Linked DNA regions of Saccharomyces cerevisiae S288C. The protein of the gene in region 1 purifies or fractionates together with the protein of each later gene. This does not show direct contact. Each region holds a gene or a part of one and is shown in the gene's direction. Other genes may lie near its edges.

Region 1 (5,014 bases):
TGCTACCTAAATCAACCAACGGCTTCTTCTCGCAGCTACAGTTGTATTTTACTGTGACGTACTTTTGCGCGCGTACGGGTTCAATGAATTACGGATTTTCAACAACTTCACACAATCATAGCTTTTTTTACTTTTTCGCCTCATTATTTTCTTTAAAGAAACGATGATAAACAGAGATTTATCGTCATGTTATTTCGTTCGTATATATCGTATTTGCGTTTTAGCTGTATAAAGTAAAATACTATATCTAACGTGGCTTTTTTTATTTCCCCGTCTGCCCTCTTATGCTCATAGAAAACACTAATGATCGGTTTGGTATCGTCATAGATGCAGGGTCTTCGGGTTCGAGAATCCATGTGTTTAAGTGGCAGGACACGGAATCGCTTCTTCATGCAACAAACCAGGACTCACAGTCCATATTACAATCAGTACCTCATATTCATCAAGAAAAAGACTGGACTTTTAAGCTGAATCCAGGCTTGTCGAGTTTTGAAAAAAAACCTCAAGATGCGTACAAATCTCACATCAAGCCGTTACTAGATTTTGCTAAGAATATTATCCCTGAATCACATTGGTCGAGTTGTCCCGTTTTTATTCAAGCAACCGCGGGCATGCGCCTTTTACCTCAAGACATACAATCTTCCATTTTGGATGGTTTGTGTCAGGGGCTCAAACACCCTGCAGAATTTTTGGTTGAGGATTGCTCAGCACAAATTCAAGTCATTGATGGTGAAACCGAAGGTTTATATGGCTGGCTTGGCTTAAACTATCTATATGGACACTTTAATGACTATAATCCAGAGGTCTCTGACCATTTTACATTTGGGTTTATGGACATGGGCGGTGCCTCTACTCAGATTGCGTTTGCACCGCATGATTCAGGAGAAATAGCTAGACATAGAGATGACATCGCCACCATCTTCTTGAGGAGTGTTAACGGAGATTTGCAGAAATGGGACGTTTTTGTTAGTACGTGGTTAGGGTTTGGTGCCAATCAGGCTAGAAGAAGGTACTTGGCTCAGTTGATCAATACCCTTCCAGAAAACACAAATGATTACGAAAATGATGACTTCTCTACAAGGAACTTGAATGATCCATGTATGCCGCGAGGAAGCAGCACGGATTTTGAATTTAAAGATACCATATTTCACATCGCGGGTTCTGGGAATTACGAACAATGTACAAAATCTATTTATCCGTTACTTTTAAAGAACATGCCTTGTGATGACGAGCCGTGCTTGTTTAATGGTGTTCATGCTCCTCGAATAGACTTTGCCAATGACAAATTTATAGGTACTTCTGAGTACTGGTACACTGCCAACGACGTATTCAAACTTGGGGGCGAATACAACTTTGACAAATTTAGCAAAAGCCTAAGGGAGTTTTGCAATTCCAATTGGACGCAAATATTAGCGAACAGTGATAAAGGCGTGTATAATTCTATTCCGGAGAATTTTTTGAAAGATGCATGCTTTAAGGGCAATTGGGTCCTTAATATACTTCATGAAGGGTTTGATATGCCTCGAATAGATGTCGACGCAGAAAATGTCAATGACAGGCCCTTATTTCAAAGTGTGGAAAAAGTCGAAGAACGAGAGTTATCGTGGACACTAGGCAGAATTTTACTTTATGCCTCAGGTAGCATATTGGCAGGTAATGATGACTTCATGGTGGGTATTGCGCCCAGTGAAAGAAGAACTAAGCTCACTGGTAAGAAATTCATACCTGGCAAGTTACTGGAGTCTGATCAACTACGCAAGCAAAGTTCCAGCCTTTCTAATAAAGGATTTTTGATGTGGTTCGCAATTATTTGTTGCATATTTTACTTGATCTTTCATAGGTCACACATAATCAGAAGACGTTTTTCCGGTCTGTACAACATTACCAAGGACTTTAAGACAGGCATAAGGAGAAGGTTGAAATTTCTAAGGAGATCAGATCCATTTTCCAGATTGGAGGAAGGTGAACTTGGAACAGACGTAGATGGCTTCAAAGATGTGTACAGGATGAAGAGTAGCAGTATGTTTGATCTTGGTAAGAGTTCAGCCACAATGCAAAGGGAGCACGAACCACAAAGGACAGCAAGTCAGTCCGCTAATCTCGCTCCGTCAAACTTACGACCTGCGTTTTCTATGGCTGATTTTTCCAAATTTAAGGACAGTAGGCTATATGATTGAATGTGGTGGTGTATGTGCCATAAATAGAAGCGCATATACTTCTCACATAAATATATGTATATATCTAGTGAGGTGCCATAGTATTGCATTAACAGTGATTCACGTCACTCTAAACGTCGCTTCTGTTTTTTTTTTGAAATTTTTTTCTCACAGCTGCTGAAAATTTTCGAGCGAGGCGATGAGATGAGCTAATTATATCAAGAGGGAATTGTACTAGTAATACTTTGGTACACACAAGAACAAGCATATAGGTATACAGTCACGACTATAATATCATAAAATGAGAGTCAGAAAGCGCCAATCTAGAAGAACATCTACCAAGTTGAAGGAAGGTATTAAGAAGAAGGCTTCTGCCCATAGAAAAAAGGAAAAGAAGATGGCTAAGAAGGACGTTACTTGGAGATCAAGGTCTAAGAAAGACCCTGGTATTCCTTCTAACTTTCCTTATAAGGCTAAGATCTTAGAAGAAATAGAAGCCAAAAAAATGAAGGACTTAGAGGAAAGAGAGCTTGCCAAACAACAACGATTGGAGGCTAGGAAAGCTGCCAAGGAACAAGGCGTTGATGCAATGGATGAAGACATGATAGAAGACGATGAAAATGGATTAGCAGCTTTGGTTGAGTCTGCTCAGCAAGCAGCTGCTGAATATGAGGGCACACCCTCTAATGATGCAGATGTTCGTGATGATGAATTGGACGTCATTGATTATAACATTGATTTCTACGGTGAAGATGTAGAAGGCGAGTCAGAACTTGAAAAATCTAGGAAAGCTTATGACAAGATTTTCAAATCCGTTATTGATGCTTCTGATGTCATCCTATATGTTTTGGATGCCAGAGATCCAGAGAGTACAAGATCAAGAAAGGTGGAAGAAGCCGTCTTACAAAGTCAGGGTAAAAGGCTGATTTTAATACTGAACAAAGTTGATTTAATTCCCCCACATGTATTGGAACAATGGTTAAATTACTTAAAGTCTAGTTTTCCTACAATCCCATTAAGAGCTTCTTCTGGTGCAGTCAACGGAACTTCTTTCAACAGAAAGCTAAGCCAAACCACTACTGCAAGTGCACTGCTAGAGTCGCTGAAAACTTACTCTAATAACAGCAATTTGAAGAGATCTATTGTAGTGGGTGTTATCGGTTATCCAAATGTTGGTAAATCATCTGTTATCAACGCTCTTTTGGCGCGCCGTGGAGGTCAATCAAAGGCTTGCCCAGTCGGTAATGAAGCAGGTGTTACTACCTCTCTGAGAGAGATCAAAATCGACAACAAGTTGAAGATTCTAGATTCTCCTGGTATATGTTTCCCAAGCGAAAATAAGAAAAGATCGAAAGTTGAACATGAAGCTGAATTAGCTCTTCTAAATGCTCTACCGGCAAAACACATTGTTGATCCGTATCCAGCTGTCTTAATGTTGGTAAAGAGACTAGCTAAATCAGATGAAATGACAGAGAGCTTTAAAAAGCTGTATGAAATTCCTCCTATTCCTGCTAATGATGCAGATACGTTTACAAAACATTTCTTAATTCACGTCGCTCGTAAAAGAGGTAGATTAGGGAAAGGCGGTATTCCAAATCTTGCCAGTGCTGGTCTTTCGGTACTTAATGACTGGAGGGATGGTAAAATTCTTGGTTGGGTTTTACCAAATACATCGGCAGCTGCATCTCAACAAGATAAACAAAATCTAAGTACTATAAACACTGGCACTAAACAAGCTCCAATTGCAGCAAATGAATCCACCATTGTATCCGAGTGGTCCAAAGAATTTGATTTGGATGGATTATTTAGCTCTCTTGACAAGGCCATAGATGCTAGCAAAGATCAAGATACAATGATGGAATAAATAAGTCATATGTAAGGCTATTTTTATGTAAGGGGTGTTTCTTATTTTTTCTTTATCATCAAATAACATTACTGTAAATTATAGGTGTGCTTTTAAACTCATTACTATACATCTTATTTTTTTTAGTTTTACTGCCTTTTTGCTCTTTGGACAAAGAAATCATTAAAAAGTTCCAACTTTTATTATGTTTCATATATAAGATATACAAAATATAAAATGCAAAACGAATTTCAGAGATAGCATGACTTATGAAATTGGGGACAGACTCAAGATTGGTGGATATTTTTGCACCATCAAATTCATAGGTGTTATTAAGCCGTGGCCTTCGGTAAAAGCTTATGGGGTGGAATGGGACGATCACAGCCGGGGAAAACATTCTGGAACAATAGATGACATACACTATTTTGACGTTCAAATTCCTAATTCAGGATCATTTTTGAAGGAGTCTAAGATTAAATCTCCAGGTGTACGCAGAATTACGTTTTACGAAGCATTGTCAGAAAAGTATGGAGGCTCGAGTAATAACATTAATGACCTATCTATAGGTAACAAAAGGGTTGAGGGTTTGGGATTCGATGAACTAAATGCGAGAAATAAGAATTATAAGAAGTTAAGAAAAATAGCTTTGCGAGATTCCGATGTCGCTATATTGTTTCAAAATCAAGATGAGTTAAACCGTGTAATACAAAATTGTGTGAACGTCAAGGACCTTGATTTATCGCTTAATCTATTCACGAATATCAACTCTTTATGTGAGTTCATAGAACCTTTGAAGAACTTGGAGAGCCTTAATATATCTCAAAATAAACTTTTAAGCGGTTGGGACAACTTGAAAGAATATGACCTATCACACATCAAAACTTTACGTCTGTCTTCCTGTGGTTTAAGTTATAAACATATTGGTAAGCTGCTCAAAAGCTTCAGGACACTGAAAATGTTGGATTTAAGCTATAACAACTTGACCAGTGCGGGAATCCAAAATTTTGAGAATGAA
Region 2 (5,807 bases), on another chromosome or scaffold:
GAACTACGCTGCATCTATGGGTATCAAAGATCATTTGAAAGGTAACGAATTTTCTAATTTGGGTACTATCTTTTCTGCTGCTTACATTTTCATGGAACCTGTGGTCACTTACTTAATTCAAAAATTCCCCATTTCCAAAATCCTAGGTACTTTTATTACCGTCTGGGGTATCGTGTTGGCTTGCCATGCTGCTTGTAAGACGTACGCCTCGTTGATGGTCGTTCGTACTCTCCTAGGTCTCTTTGAATCCTCGAGTGCAGTTGGTTGTATCGCTATTAGTGGTATGTACTATACTAAATCTGAACAGAGTGCAAGAATTGGATTCTGGGCCACACAGGCTGGTACAGGTTATATTGTGGGCGGGTTAATTTCTTTTGGCTTTTTACATTATCATGGTACCGCTTTCACCTCTTGGCAAATAATGTTTTTGGTCGTTGGTCTGGTTACAGTTGCGTTTGGTGTTCTAACATTCTTATACCTTCCAGATAACGTCACCAATGCTTGGTTCCTAAACAAAGAGGAAAAAATTCAAGTTGTTGAGCATATCAGAGCTAACCAAACTGGCCTGGAAACAAAGAAGTTTAAGAAGCAGCAAGTTAAAGAACTATTCCTTCATGATAAGTTTACTTGGCCGATGCTTTTATTAACTGCATGTTCTCAAATTTCTACTGGTGCCATTGGTACATTTTCAGTGACCATCACTGGTACTTTTGGTTTCGACAAGTACGAAACAGCATTACTGCAGTTGCCTATTGGTGCCATTACGGCTATGATTATTCTTATAACAACTCAAATGTTGTCCCGCTGGGGTCATATCACACTCATAACCACATCTATGTATATTCCAGCTATTATAGGTTGTATCGTTCTTATCAGTTTACCCTTATCCCATAAGATCGGTAACTTATTTTCTCTGTACTTGCTTTACAGTGGTTCCTGTGTCATTACCAATATTTACATCTGGAATTCATGCAACACCTCCGGTTACACCAAAAGAGTTTTTAGAAATGCTATTACAATGATTGTATACAATGTCTCCTGTATTATTGCTCCACAGATGTTTAGGGCATACTCTGCTCCACGTTACATACCAGCAAAGATTGCCTTATTGGTCACTCAGTGTGTTTGTGTTCCCCTACAATTATACATTGGCTACATTTGCAAGAAGGAGAACGAAAAGCGTGATAAGGAACAAGAAGGTCAAGAAAGGAAGAAGTACCAATTTTTGGACTTGACTGATATCGAAAACAGAAATTTCAGGTACATTTACTAATAATCAACTTTTAATTTACAATATATAATATTTTTAGTCTGTAATATTCAATATTCAAAGACACCCAAACATTCATTGCACTTGGTATTTACCAAAAAATTGAAGAGAAAATTTTTGAGATGACCATGGATGAGGCAATGAAAGTCGAAATTTGATCCCCGCTACTAACTTCTAAACATATCGTCAGGACAATTGAGCTGAAAATGTCTAATCCAGATGATTTAGATGATGGACTCGCCTATGATTTTGATGCCGAACATGAAGTAATTTTTGACGCCAAGGATGGTAGTCCCCCAACCAAAAAGGTACAAAAGAGGTCTATAGAACAAGATGACGATGACGTTGATGATATAGATGGGAAAAAAGAGGAGAGAAATTCAGAAGATGATTCGAATAGACCTATTTCGAAAAGACAGAAAAAGCTACAGAAAAAATCAAAGCTAATTGAGAAAAAGAAAGAGGAAAGCCAGTATATCGTCTCACAACGAAAAGCACTTCCAGCAAGTTCACCAGAAAAAATTATTGAGTACCTAACAACTTTGATACGAGAAAAAAATCCTGACTTGAGTGTTTTAGAATTAGAGGAACTTTACTTCAAAAGAAATGATTTTCTTTCGACAGAAAAATTTGACGCTGAACGCAGATTAAGCAATTTCCCAGCCTTTATTCAAAAATTTTCCGTAGCTCCAAAAAAAATTGTTTTTTCTATGTCTAATATTAGAGTAGCAGACGTTTATCGTAGTCTAAACGGTGGCAAAAATTGCGTCAAATTATTCTCTAAAAGTAAACTAAAGGATGACATAGCCACCGTGGAACGTTTACTTACTGACAGCTCTAAAAAATCAAACAAAAATAAAGATTCACTATATTTTATTGCCACTCCAACAAGAATGCAGAAAATTATAGAAGCTACTGACTTACTTTTCCAAGGTAAGGAAAAGTTAGATATCATTCTTGATGCAAGTTATTTAGATCCTAAGGATAATACTATATTATCATTCGAGAATGCAGCCGTCCTCTGCCAAGTCTTGAAAACCTTTTTGAATAAAAAAAGCTCCGTGAAAATACTGTTATATTAATAATAGCGCTTTTTCACTGAGGTTCTACACATAAGATTACGTTTTTAAATACCAGCCTTAATTTAGTATATTAAATATTTCATTCTAGCATTTGATGGGGTACTTCAAATTATCTTCTTTAAATTGTCCAAAGCCCTTCCAAAAAGTAAAATCAAAGGAGAAACTTCGAGAACGCCTAGGCGCGCAGCAAACTCCATATATAACAATGTATTTTTTCTTTAACTACATAAAACCAATTTATCCTATTTTACTCTTTCCATGGAGTGTATGCTTTTTTGTAGTTACTTAGATTCAGAAATTCAATGTCTTCCCTCATTTTCTTCACCGTAGAGTAGACCATGGGACGTCGTTTTACTTTAGTTTTTGAATTTTTTCAGCGATGCCCGAAAACTGAAAATTTTATCTCATCTCATTCACCTGCCTGCCATATATAGTATTTTCATGGTATAAACTTGGCATTTTATGTCTTCAATCATAAGAGTATAATTCCGGGATAAAAGCTGGAGATATCATAGTAATAATGGCTAAGAGAAATAGATCTCAATTTCGCATTCAGGAAAGGACTGCAAAGAAAAGAAAGCACGAAGATTCCTTGTTAGAAGGCAATGTTTTCCAAAATGCACCGGAAGATATGGATGAAAATACCATATATAGCGCAAAAGGCTCATCCTGGGATGAAGAAGAACAGGATTACGAAATGGTTCCTCGGAAGAATCGGTCTGATACATCAAATCTTGTTGAAGGCCTGCCTATAAAAGTTAACGGTAAAGTTGAAAGAAAATTGCATAAAGCCCAAGAAAAACCAAAGGACGATGATGAGGAAGACGAAGACTCTAATGACTCTTCAGAAGATGATGAGGGACCTAATGAAGAACAAGAAGCAGAGGCAAAGGAGGATGAGCCTGATACGGAGGAAAAAATTCTGCAACTAAAAGAAGACATTGCCGATTTAGTCACTAAAGTTATGGAGGAGCCTGAAGAAAATACTGCTGCGTTGGGGCGTCTATGTAAAATGGTGGAATCTAAAAATCCTAATACTTGTAAGTTTTCCATGTTGGCTTTGGTCCCCGTGTTTAAGAGTATCATACCAGGCTATAGAATTCGACCACTAACTGAAACTGAAAAGAAGGAAAAAGTTTCTAAAGAAGTCTCCAAGCTTAGAAACTTTGAGCAAGCCTTAGTTTATAACTACAAAAATTACGTCGGAAGATTACAGAGTCTTTCAAAAACTCCCAGTAATGCTGCTCCTATACAGGTTTCATTAGGGATTTTGGCCACTCAAGCCGCAAAAGAATTGATTTCAACGGCATCCCATTTCAACTTTAGAACAGACATTTTCACTTTACTGTTGCGTAGAATTTGTAAACCAAGAATTTCAACAGATCCAACTTCCATTCAAATAATCCAGACATTTGAAACTCTATTAAATGAGGACGAAGAGGGCTCAATATCATTCGAGATACTAAGAATTTTCAACAAAATACTAAAGACGAGGAACTTCAACATCGAAGAATCTGTTTTAAATATGTTATTATCGTTAGATGTCTTACATGACTATGACCCTAATACTAAATTGAAAGGTAACGTTAGCGCTCCTAAGCTCAAAAAGAAAGATAGGGTCCATCTTTCTAAGAAGCAAAGAAAAGCTCGAAAAGAGATGCAACAAATTGAGGAAGAAATGCGTAACGCTGAGCAAGCTGTTTCTGCGGAGGAAAGAGAAAGAAACCAATCCGAAATTCTAAAAATCGTTTTCACTATATATTTGAATATCTTGAAAAACAATGCAAAAACACTCATTGGATCGGTTTTGGAAGGTCTAACGAAGTTTGGTAATATGGCCAACTTTGATCTATTAGGGGACTTCCTCGAAGTAATGAAAGAACTTATTAGTGACACTGAATTCGATAACCTTTCCTCTGCTGAGGTCCGTAAGGCTTTGCTTTGTATCGTTAGTGCATTCTCACTTATTTCAAATACACAATATATGAAAGTTAATGTGGATTTGTCCAAATTCGTCGATGGGCTTTACGCGCTATTACCTTATATCTGTCTTGATGCAGACATCGAATTATCTTATAGATCGCTAAGGTTGGCTGACCCACTCAATAACGAAATAATAAAACCATCAGTTAACGTTTCTACCAAAGCAGAACTTCTGCTAAAGGCTCTGGACCATGTATTTTTCCGCTCTAAATCAGGGACTAAAGAAAGGGCTACGGCGTTTACCAAAAGATTGTACATGTGCATCAGCCATACCCCAGAAAAAACAAGTATTGCCATTCTTAAATTTATTGATAAATTAATGAATAGATATCCAGAAATTTCAGGCCTTTACTCTTCCGAGGATAGAATAGGCAACGGTCATTTCATAATGGAAGCCGATAATCCTTCAAGGAGTAACCCAGAGGCAGCAACCTTATGGGATAATGCTCTTCTTGAAAAGCATTATTGTCCTGTAGTTACAAAGGGGCTACGCTCTCTATCATCTAGATCTAAAGAGTGTTCTAAATAGCTAGATCCTATATATTAAGTATATAAAGAGCCACGATTATCGTTAGCCAATCATTTTTGCCGTGTCGAGTAGAATTGTATAAATATTAGCATTGTATGAAATTTGAATGAATTACCGCAAAAGTATTATACGTAAGCAATAGAAACAAATATCAGATTCAAGTTCACCAAATCAATATTAACAGCTTACTATATTGTCTTTTTTTATGGAAGAACATTACCGTGAAAACCCGGTAGGAGAATTTTGTTCGGTCGGACTTCCCCATTAGGCGTATATTAAGGGCCTAGAAAATAAGACAAAACGGCTTCTTATCTAAGCTGCTGTGAGTGACAGCATGTATTAACTGAATCAAACGGAGCCCTTTGATGAACATGGCAATCCAAACAATTAAATACATTTTTTGGCTACTGCCGATATTAGGGCTTACACAAGCACTTCTACAAAACCCAGGGGACGATTTTCCATTTAGCACAGTAATAGATATCCTCTCAGAAAATGTTGAATTCTCAACTTTTTTAAGGATTATTCAGAAAACTGGTCACGTACAGTACTTAAATGAGCTACAGAACTTTACACTTTTTGCTCCGATTAATTCAGCATTTATTAAGGGGGACCAAACCACAGACCAATTTGAGGAGCATTTCCATATTGAAGATTTCCTTATTCATGATAGGGTATTGCAAGTGAGAGACCTTGAAAACGGTACCTACCTGGAGAAAAGAGCTGCAAAAGCACCTTTATTGCTGAGAAAGCATGAGCGCCATTGCTTTGTCAATGAAATTGCTGTTGTCGAACCCGATTTGCTGCCTAGTTTCCAGAATGCTTCATTACAAGGTATTAACAATCTTTTACTAATTCAACCTCAAATAAATGAGTTGCTGGTACAACTAGATGAAGAAACCCAAGATTTAAAGATATTTAGTGATTTTATCAGCAGTTTTTC
Region 3 (5,050 bases), on another chromosome or scaffold:
AAAGTGAAACTAGAAGCTTAAAGCGCCCTTCACAATTGGGAAGGACGAAGTCTGATCTAACGATGAATCATTTACAAAAACGGCAGTTTTCTGTCTCTGACTTAAGCACAACAAGAGTACCGAATTCATCAACTATCACACTCAAAACGCCTTTCTCGCACTCAACTATTAATGCATACAAAACTATGAATAACTCTTTTCGCAGAGTTGGGAAACGTAAAGATATCAATGAAACGATACGCCTACATGAACGTGTAGACTCTGAGGAAAACGTACAAGTTCAAGCCACTCCTGCTGTGAAAAAAAGAACTGTGACACCTAATAAAAAGGCGCAACTTCAAAGCATCATTGAATCGCCGCTAAATTTCAAGGATGATGATACGCATGAAGGCAGAAAAAATACCTCCAATATTACCTCTACTCCCACTAATAAGCCCCCGGAAAATAGCTCAAAAAGGAGAGTAAGAAGACGTTTATTTGCTCCAGAATCCACATAGAATAAGAAACTGCGAGACCACCTTCGCTGGCAAGTAGTTGACCCAACTCCATCTTTGTAGCTTTTCTTGGACGAAAAGGGAATAAAATAAAACTAAGCTACAACAATTTCGCACTTCGGGGGCCTTTGAGTATACAATTAAATAACTCATCATGCATATATATATATATACATACAATGGCGTATGTAAAAACTGTTATATAACATTACCGTTGTACTATTAGTATAAACCGATTCTCACTATTCGCCAAAAAATATCGCACTAATTAATTCTTTTGCGTCGTCTCTTTTCAAAATGTGAAATCCAATAGTGACACCACACCTCTCTAGCAATTTTTCCTTATCCTCATCCGTAACTTTTTCACCTTTACCCTCGTACAAATCTGGTAAATCCTTTTTTAGAACTAACAATGCACTAATTACAGTATCAACCAAGATTTGAGTTTCTTCTTTAGTAAATTTGGTCCTAGTTGGATTGGAGTCATCGTTCAAATGTTCCTCTATATTGTCTAGAGTTATTCCGCTTTCATTGAATACCAAGCGCGCCCAATTATTTAGGTTTCCTAAGAAGAATCTGATGGATTCACCTTCTAGTACCGATACACCCTTTAAGCACCCATAGTAAGTCCCAAAAACACGGTTTATGTCCAAAAATGTCTTTAGCAGTGTCCTAGTTACTCTTGGCTTCAGGGATTTGTATGCTTGAGGAAATTTTTTCAATACATAGTCCAACAAAGATGCGGCAAAATCACGTAGTGCATTCGTTCTTTCTAAAAATTCATGAATTTCTTGCGGCGAATCATCTTTTGGTGATCCACCAAGTTTTTTTGCTAATAGCAAGGTTAAAATGGAAGGCATTAACGAATGAATATAAGGGTCCAGGAAAATAGAAGTATTGCTTAGTAAAGAGTAAATCATTTCCAAAATTGTTGTTAGCAATTGTAAATCGGAAAGATTTTGTGTGATTTGTTCGGCAATAAATTGAATAAAATATGGAACCAGTTGGTGCAGGCCACTATCAGTTCGTAGTGAAGTCAAAGCTGCTTGTTTCATATGCTGTGCAGCTTCATCAGCTTGACTCTTCGCTGTCAAGGTTGAAATGACCTTATTGAAATAAATCTGTAATTCTTTGGATAAAACGTGTTTCACTAAAGGTTTGACTTCAGTATTCTGTCCTGGTTTAACATTAGACAGGTGTTGAGAGGCGCCTGTATCCGTCACAGAAGCACTTGCTGTCGTCGACGTTACAGGTGTTTGGAGGCTGTTATCATTCAAAGCAGTGACAATAGCACCTCTAATAAATGGTGGTTGGGATACCCTTATATCATTCAAATTTGGATTTTGGATTATGGCAGGTTGAACCCCTTCAACTGCTAGCCAATGTGTAGTAAAAGTTGGTAGACGAGGCACTTGCGGTAATGGCTCATTTATTAATCTATCAAAATCTACTTCTTCCTCATCCAGGTAGTAAACCGACTGTCCTCCACTTGTGTTAACCTTACTAAATGATACAGCTTTATTAACTTCAGAGCCATCATAATATCCATATAAAGGTTCCACATTCAGAACACGCAGGGCCTTCGATACATCGTCTGTAGTTAAAACATCTCTTTTAGAGTGTCTTTTAAACTTGACTGCCTGTTCAATAATCTCTAGAATACGGTATTCAACGTCCATAGCAAGTGCTTTCAACACGTCATCGTTGATATTTTCCAACCCAAGCGACTCAGCGACATCTTTAACAGTATCTTGTGGAGACCAAATTGTGTAAGATTGCTGCTGTGTAGACATTTTAACAGGCTATCAACTACACTGAGGCGTCCTTTGCTTCCTTTTTAAAGCCAATCTATTGTTTTCGCTCATGAACTACTTTTGCTGCTACTTGAATCGGTGTTTGTTATTGATGGTTTCCGGGTATTTTTTTGGTAATAAAATAAAGCTGAAAAATTTTGTAAAGCGATGCCCAATCTCGAAGCCTCACTTCAATGAACATAATACAGAGAAAATTTAACCATAAATAGGCCCAGCTTCGATCGTAAAATGAGGTTACTAGTCAGCTGTGTGGATAGTGGATCCATAAAGGAAGTTTTGTGTAACATCGGGACTGACACTTCCGTACAATCAGCACTGCAGCCTTTTCATGTGGCACCTCATCTAGCCGAAGGATTGAAAGCTTACGTTGACAGGATGTGGGTGATATCCGAAGATGAAGCCATCTTAGCAAGGAATTCAGGGGTCGTCGAACTTGTAAAGATTTCGAAACACCTTAAAGAAAATGAAGCTCTCCAGGTCGATCCCAAAGGAGAAAGCAAAAATGAAAAGAGCCTTTCCGATGATCTACCCAAATTTGACATATCCGAGTTTGAGATAACCAGCTCAGTTTCAGACCTTTTTGATGATGCCAAATTGGAATCACTTTCAAGTAAATCTGTTAAAAGAACCAAGTTGGTGGATGGTTTTGTCACATTATGTCCCATAAAAAAGGATTCGTCGAATAACACATTCGTAGCTGCTACCAAATCGGGATTATTACATATTATAAAAAAAGGAGAAGATAAAAAGTTAATAAAACTAGCATCCCTTGGACTGAAAGCACCAGTAGAATTTCTTCAGTTATATGATCTAGAAGATACCGATACTGATAAATATATATTTGCATACGGAGGGGAGGAGAATTTAATAAAATTAGTGGAAATAGATTCGAGTTTCCAATCTTTAAAGCAAATTTGGGAAGCCAAGAATGTTAAAAACGACAGGTTGGATATGAGAGTCCCAGTATGGCCCATGGCCCTAAGATTTTTGGAGCCCTCCCCTGGTAAAACTGAAAAGGGTAAGCTGAACTACCAGTTTGCAGCCATAACCCGTTGGTCCCACCTCACCAAATACAGCACACAACATGGCAGAAAACCGTTCGCTCAGATAGATTTATTACCTAACCGTGAACCATTATCTCAGATGGAAGTTTTTGATGCCAAGGGAGAAAATGTTGTCTCTTCGTTGGGGAATTTTCAATCTGAAACCTTTAATGAACTGAATGTGATTACTACTGACTACAAAAAGAATGTTTTTAAATTCGATGGTAATGGAAGAATGTTGGGCAAGGTGGGTAGAGATGATATCACTGGTTCGTCAACCTATATTCATGTACATGACGGCAAATATCTTTTACAAGGTGGTTTAGATAGGTATGTTCGGATCTTCGATATAAAAACTAACAAAATGCTGGTGAAGGTTTATGTTGGGTCCCGTATAAATTTTATTGTTATGCTGGATGACGTTGAAATCGAGATGCCACTAAGTCCAAGTGCGAAAGCTGCCAAAGGGAAGCAAAAAAGGAAGGTTACAGAACTTGAAGAAGACGCAGATGAGCTTTGGAATAAATTGGAGGGAAAGGTAGCTGCTTCTAAAGCCAGTAAGAAAAGCAAAATTTAATAGTAAAGGACGCTAATTGAAGGCAAAGTTTTACTAGTCGGCGGGAAAAATTATTAAAAAAAGCACTTCCTGAACGCGACGCTGAATAACTTATAATACGTTACATAATTGTATACCGTCTAGTAAACTTACATACGCTTGTCTATCTTGTATGCTGATGCATTTTATCAAATAGCGTTATTTCCCGCACGAGCCAATTTTTTATCGTGCCCCTTCTTACGGTTATGGTTAGCTCTAGCCCCTTTCCTTTTTTCATTCTTAGCATGCTGTCTTTTCTTCTGTTCAGTAGATTGAGGTTCATGTTTCTTAATATTTTCAGATTTTTTTTGTTTGGCTTGTTCTTTGACGACATTTCCATCATTTTGGCTATCACGATTATGAACATAAGACGTTTTCCCTGTTTTGCTATTTCCTTTGAACATAAACTTCTTTTCTAAAAGTCTTGCTCGGGTAGGAGATCTTTCTAACATCCGACACCAACCTTCGATTTTTTCATCCGACCATGAAGTCATTTCTTTCATAGTTTTCCTGACTTTTGTACCTCTTTTTGATCTCTCAAATAATTTCGGATCCTCTTTCAATAGATTCCACAAGTAAGCTTCAACAATATGATAGTTATGATCTTGTCGCACTTCATTAGAATCATCTTTTGTATCATAGCTTTCTTCGTCTTCTTGAAGTCCAATTCTTTTCGAAGGATCGGACCGGTTCACATCGGCTTCATCATAAGTGTCATCCCTTTCATCTTCATCAGCCTCGTATAAAAGTTTCAATGCTCTTGTCAAAGTTTTATTTCTTAATTCATCCGGAACACCCTCCGAGATAATCTTTTTGTCTAGCTCTTTATTTTTTGAGCTATCTCCTCTATCCAATATACTCAGTTCTTCAGTAAAGGATGCATTATCACCATCTGACACCGGCTCTACTTCTTCCTCCGCAGGTTCTCTGGAGAATGCTTCGATAATGGTAGGATCCTCAAATATTTTATTCGTTACTAATTCAATGTTATTATCATAGGCAAGCAACGTTTGAGATAATTGATATTTAGAAAACTGGGGGAACAATTCCATCAACGCGGACAGTTGTTCTTCATTAACTTCAGTACCTGATGATGTTGGATAG
Region 4 (6,248 bases), on another chromosome or scaffold:
AACTAAACGTACCTTTGAACCCAAAAGGAAGGAAACTTAGCGCTCCAGGTCAACCAGGTCTATATATAGACCAGCAAGAACTAGAGCTAGAAGAAGATGATTACAAAATGAAGGTACATGAAATGCAAAAGCTGATAGGTCTAGCATCATATGTTGGATATAAATTTAGATTTGACCTATTATACTACATCAACACACTTGCACAACATATACTATTTCCGTCCAAGCAAGTGTTAGATATGACATATGAATTGATACAGTTCATATGGAATACGAGAGATAAGCAATTAATATGGCACAAAAGCAAACCTGTTAAGCCAACAAATAAATTAGTTGTTATAAGCGATGCATCGTATGGTAACCAACCGTATTATAAATCACAAATTGGCAACATATATTTACTTAATGGAAAAGTAATTGGAGGAAAGTCCACCAAGGCTTCATTAACATGTACTTCAACTACGGAAGCAGAAATACACGCGATAAGTGAATCTGTCCCATTATTAAATAACCTCAGTCACCTTGTGCAAGAACTTAACAAGAAACCAATTACTAAAGGATTACTAACCGACAGTAAATCTACAATCAGTATAATTATATCCAATAATGAAGAGAAATTTAGAAACAGATTTTTTGGTACTAAAGCAATGAGACTAAGAGATGAAGTATCAGGAAATCATCTGCACGTATGCTATATCGAAACCAAAAAGAATATTGCAGACGTAATGACCAAACCTCTTCCGATAAAAACATTCAAACTATTAACAAACAAATGGATTCATTAGATCTATTACATTATGGGTGGTATGTTGGAATAAAAATCCACTATCGTCTATCAACTAATAGTTATATTATCAATATATTATCATATACGGTGTTAAGATGATGACATAAGTTATGAGAAGCTGTCATCGATGTTAGAGGAAGCTGAAACGCAAGGATTGATAATGTAATAGGATCAATGAATATAAACATATAAAACGGAATGAGGAATAATCGTAATATTAGTATGTAGAAATATAGATTCCATTTTGAGGATTCCTATATCCTCGAGGAGAACTTCTAGTATATTCTGTATACCTAATATTATAGCCTTTATCAACAATGGAATCCCAACAATTATCTAATTACCCACATATATCTCACCTTCTTACACTGTATATGATAATATATTAATATTAAACCAGTCAATAAATGTAATTGATTATTTCAACACGAAAACCTAACTATCAACGATATCACATAGAACAGCGAAGAGTTAGAAGATTTATTAGAAGATTTATTAGTATAGGTTATTTTAGATGCAATTTTTCAATAAAACCTGGTTTCGTGGTCTAGTCGGTTATGGCATCTGCTTAACACGCAGAACGTCCCCAGTTCGATCCTGGGCGAAATCATTTTTTTAGCACTTTAGCAGCATATTGCGGTATCGAATCATCTTCATGAATGGCGCAGATTTATTTGAACTGTTCAATCATAAATTAACCTTATGTGAATAGTCTGGGTAGGTTGAAACTTCGGAAATCACTTGCTTTTCTGAGGGCTGCGCGTAATCTAGATAGATCTACCTAAATGACACCGATGGCAACTTCAAGCTATACTAACTCCTAGACATTACTTTCTTCAGTATTCCCTTAGTGCCTGTTTTGAGCTATGAGATTGGTATTATTATTTGAAATATCTTCTATTGCGGTATCTGATTTTATATTTCTAGCTTTGTCATAAAATATAAAATACACAAATATATATATAGAGATAAGATAGATTATTTTTGATGACTTGCAAGTTGCACTAGGATTTGTTTTTCTTCTAAAAACCCCTTAAAGGTATTTCCAGAGAAAATATTATGCTGGTTATTCGATACTATTATCCAGTATACACTGACCTATGTTATAAGCAAAGGTTCTTCGTTCTGCCTCTTTAACAGGTGGAGTGCGTGCCATTATCATCAATGAAAGTTTAACATGTAATTGTCATCAGCTGTATACTGTTCGAATCTGTTCATTACGAAGGTTTAACTTCAAAAATCGAAAAGAAAAAAAATAGAAGATAAGAATATTGCATAGATCCTTCTTTTTTAGTGAAGTCACCGAATAATACATATAATGAAGTTAAAATTACAAACCGTGCAAAAACACCGCTGATTTAGAGTGGGCGATTTCATAGATCAAAAAGCAGGCTAAATATGAATTGAAAATTAAGTAGTCTACTATTTTCTGACAGCAGTGGCGCGCGACGGTTTCCAGGAAGTTTATTATTCAACGTGTCCAATTTTCACACGCTGCTTGACATCGTTATTCCCTGAACGCATTTTTACACTGTATGCGCAATTTGAGCCACTTTGATGGACTATTATGTATGAATAGCTTAGCTTAAAGAAGTAACAGTAGAGTGTTGAACCTTTAAGTGCTTGATGTACTCGAGCCTTTTTCTATGATACCTCACTCCAGAAAAAAGCGTTTAACATATCTGGCATTGAGGGTGGTCTCAAACAATAAAAGTATCCTATTTAATATTTTAACATTGCTGATAACCTAAAAAATCTGAACGTTGCCAGCATAAAACCTCAGCTTTATATCGTACTGAATAACATACTTACTGCAGGGCGAAATTTTTCTCAAATTGTGCCTAAATCGTTAAGTTACTAAACTTTTACGCGCAGTACTGGCATTGAGCGATCAATATTGTTTAATGCGTAGTGACGATCTTCTCCACTTATATTTTTTTATTCGTAGTTCTCTATTTTCGTTTCGATTTGTTTTCTCTGTCTACCAGATTAAAAGTGATTTGAAGTTTTTTATCATGAACTAAACAATAAAATTACAAAAAAAAAAAGTCAGCGTCACCAAGGATTGCTACCAATATACGACTTTACTGCTGTATTATCGAATTTTACCTTCTAGGATATTATGTAAAGTCTCTAGCAAAGGGAGAAAACTAATGTTACTAGGACTGAAGAACATTTTCCTCTTATAGTGTAAAATTGATTTTGACAAGAATATAATTAATACATTTTTTTTCTTTTGATAGCAGTATTGAGTACAATGAATTGAGCATTCAAGGTTCAACATGTGATAGTAGCTCTACCGCTAGTATGTTATTGCTAATTAAGTAGGATTGAATTGTCGCGATTTTGTCATTTTGGGTTTTAATAACTCTTGTACGGGTTACCCCATTTGTTTTTGAAGATTAGTGAAAAATTATTGAAAATTTTTTTTTTTTTGGTTTTGCGATGAGCTTATAATTTACATATGTGATATATTCGCATATAGATCCTAGCGAAGAAAGGTACTGTATTAAATCTGTTCTAACATAACTAGGTCAATGATGGCTAAGAACAACAAAACTACCGAGGCAAAGATGTCGAAAAAGAGAGCAGCTAGCGAAGAATCTGATGTCGAGGAAGATGAGGACAAGCTTTTATCCGTTGACGGTTTGATCGATGCGGAAGCAAGTGAGAGTGACGAGGATGATGACGAATACGAGTCTGCCGTTGAAGAAAAGGAATCATCTTCTGATAAAGAAGCCCAAGATGATTCTGATGATGACTCCGATGCTGAATTAAACAAACTGCTTGCCGAAGAAGAAGGTGATGGGGAAGAGGACTATGACAGTTCTGAGTTTTCAGACGACACAACTTCCTTAACAGACAGATTATCGGGTGTGAAATTGCAAACGATCGTTGATCCGAATATTTACTCAAAATATGCAGATGGCAGTGATAGAATTATCAAACCTGAAATTAATCCAGTTTATGATAGCGATGATAGTGATGCCGAAACGCAAAATACCATTGGTAATATTCCACTTTCTGCATACGATGAAATGCCACACATTGGATACGATATCAACGGTAAAAGGATTATGAGACCTGCCAAGGGTTCTGCTTTAGATCAACTGTTGGATTCTATCGAGCTACCTGAAGGCTGGACTGGTTTACTGGACAAGAATTCCGGTTCAAGTTTGAACTTAACCAAAGAGGAATTAGAACTTATTTCCAAAATCCAAAGGAACGAACAAACTGATGATAGCATAAATCCATACGAACCGTTAATCGATTGGTTCACGAGACACGAAGAAGTGATGCCATTAACTGCTGTTCCGGAGCCAAAAAGAAGATTTGTTCCATCCAAAAACGAAGCCAAGAGAGTTATGAAAATTGTAAGAGCTATCAGAGAGGGCCGTATTATTCCTCCTAAAAAATTAAAGGAAATGAAAGAAAAGGAAAAAATTGAAAACTATCAATACGATTTATGGGGTGATTCTACGGAAACAAATGATCATGTAATGCATCTAAGGGCACCAAAATTACCTCCACCAACTAATGAAGAGAGTTATAATCCACCAGAAGAGTATCTTTTGTCTCCTGAAGAAAAGGAGGCCTGGGAAAATACTGAATATAGTGAAAGAGAAAGAAACTTCATACCTCAAAAGTATTCTGCCTTAAGAAAGGTCCCTGGTTACGGTGAATCTATTAGGGAAAGATTTGAAAGATCTTTGGATTTATATTTAGCTCCTCGTGTCCGTAAAAACAAATTGAATATTGATCCTAATTCTCTAATTCCAGAACTTCCCTCTCCCAAGGATTTAAGACCCTTCCCTATTCGTTGCTCAACAATATACGCTGGTCACAAAGGAAAAGTACGCACATTATCCATTGATCCTTCTGGATTATGGCTAGCAACAGGATCTGATGACGGAACAGTCAGGGTATGGGAAATTTTAACTGGTAGAGAAGTTTATAGAACTACTTTAATCGATGACGAGGAAAACCCAGATTACCACATTGAATGCATTGAATGGAATCCTGATGCTAATAATGGTATTCTCGCCGTTGCTGTTGGTGAAAACATTCATTTAATAGTACCACCAATATTCGGCTACGATATTGAAAATAACGGCAAAACTAAGATTGAAGATGGTTTTGGCTACGATACTTTTGGGACTGTTAAAAAATCTAACCTAGAAGTGAACGAGAATGGTGATGGCGATGAAGATGGAGAGAATGAATCTGCTAAGAATGCTGTAAAAAAACAAGTAGCCCAATGGAACAAGCCTTCTCAAAAGCAACTAGAAAAGGATATTTGTATCACTATTTCTTGCAAAAAAACAGTAAAAAAGCTTTCATGGCATAGAAAAGGTGATTACTTTGTCACTGTTCAACCTGACTCTGGTAACACTTCTGTTTTGATTCACCAAGTTTCCAAGCATTTAACCCAATCCCCATTCAAAAAATCGAAGGGCATTATTATGGATGCGAAGTTCCATCCTTTTAAACCTCAATTATTTGTCTGTTCCCAAAGATATGTCAGAATTTATGATTTATCTCAACAAATATTGGTCAAGAAACTGTTGCCTGGTGCCCGTTGGTTATCGAAAATCGATATTCACCCAAGGGGTGATAATTTAATTGCGTCATCGTTTGACAAGAGAGTTTTATGGCACGACCTGGATTTGGCTAGCACACCTTACAAGACACTAAGATATCATGAAAAAGCCGTCAGAAGTGTGAATTTCCACAAAAAGTTACCTCTATTCAGCTCTGCCGCTGATGACGGTACCATACATGTTTTCCATGCCACTGTTTATGATGACATGATGAAAAATCCGATGATTGTGCCACTAAAGAAACTAACCGGTCATAAAGTAATCAATAGTCTGGGTGTTCTTGATGCTATTTGGCATCCGAGGGAAGCTTGGCTGTTTTCTGCCGGTGCTGATAATACGGCTCGCTTATGGACCACCTAGATAAATAATTTGAAGTAGATATTGTATAATAACGCCCAAGAAGAAAAAATCAAACACTCGAACCAGGCTCTTTCTACAAGCTTTATTTACACAATATATATAAACCTATATGTATAGATGCCCACACGCACGTTTGGATTATTACCTTCAATGACATTGCTAAAAGCCCATTTCCTTCATAGCATCCAACTCATCTTGATCTACGCCAAACTCATCTCCCCCTGGCAATAAATCATAATGAGTATGTTGTCCCTCTATATCATTCATTTCCCACTCTTCCAAACTTTGAATCAGTTGAACGTCTTCTTCAGTCATAGAGCCTTTTTCCATTTTTCTATGCGCATCTAGCCATCCTAATAAGAGCTTCTTCTCATTTTCTTCAAGGCCAACGGGCCCTTGTACCCTGAATGTCTTCAATAATGCATCCAAATCTTCCTTAGGCGGCACAACGTTGTTAAGTACCGTTTCATTATTCCCACGTTCGTCCAAAACTCGTCCTC

What was found.
Region 2: the proteins of NUG1 (region 1) and NOC3 purify together in Saccharomyces cerevisiae (affinity purification with mass spectrometry; 8 studies listed by BioGRID, with this or other methods). This does not show direct contact.
Region 3: the proteins of NUG1 (region 1) and NSA1 purify together in Saccharomyces cerevisiae (affinity purification with mass spectrometry; 5 studies listed by BioGRID). This does not show direct contact.
Region 4: the proteins of NUG1 (region 1) and ERB1 purify together in Saccharomyces cerevisiae (affinity purification with mass spectrometry; 9 studies listed by BioGRID, with this or other methods). This does not show direct contact.

Annotation. Positions count from the first base shown.
Region 1 is NC_001137.3:160,266-165,279, forward strand, and holds NUG1 (RNA-binding GTPase NUG1), read left to right. Parts: upstream 1-2,457; coding exon 2,458-4,020; downstream 4,021-5,014. Other genes in the region: FMP52 (Fmp52p), read left to right, coding at 1-10; YND1 (apyrase), read left to right, coding at 285-2,177; PAC2 (Pac2p), read left to right, coding at 4,262-5,014. UniProt on the Saccharomyces cerevisiae protein: GTPase required for 60S ribosomal subunit export to the cytoplasm.
Region 2 is NC_001144.5:153,400-159,206, reverse strand, and holds NOC3 (Noc3p), read left to right. Parts: upstream 1-2,872; coding exon 2,873-4,864; downstream 4,865-5,807. Other genes in the region: THI73 (Thi73p), read left to right, coding at 1-1,273; CMS1 (Cms1p), read left to right, coding at 1,477-2,352; YLR001C (uncharacterized protein), read left to right, coding at 5,230-5,807. UniProt on the Saccharomyces cerevisiae protein: Required for synthesis of 60S ribosomal subunits and the transport of pre-ribosomes from the nucleoplasm to the cytoplasm. Also required for initiation of DNA replication.
Region 3 is NC_001139.9:297,442-302,491, forward strand, and holds NSA1 (ribosome biosynthesis protein NSA1), read left to right. Parts: upstream 1-2,536; coding exon 2,537-3,928; downstream 3,929-5,050. Other genes in the region: SLD3 (Sld3p), read left to right, coding at 1-497; TATA-binding protein-associated factor TAF6, read right to left, coding at 737-2,287; CUE3 (Cue3p), read right to left, coding at 4,096-5,050. UniProt on the Saccharomyces cerevisiae protein: Involved in the biogenesis of the 60S ribosomal subunit.
Region 4 is NC_001145.3:367,594-373,841, reverse strand, and holds ERB1 (ribosome biogenesis protein ERB1), read left to right. Parts: upstream 1-3,324; coding exon 3,325-5,748; downstream 5,749-6,248. Other genes in the region: CSM3 (Csm3p), read right to left, coding at 5,908-6,248.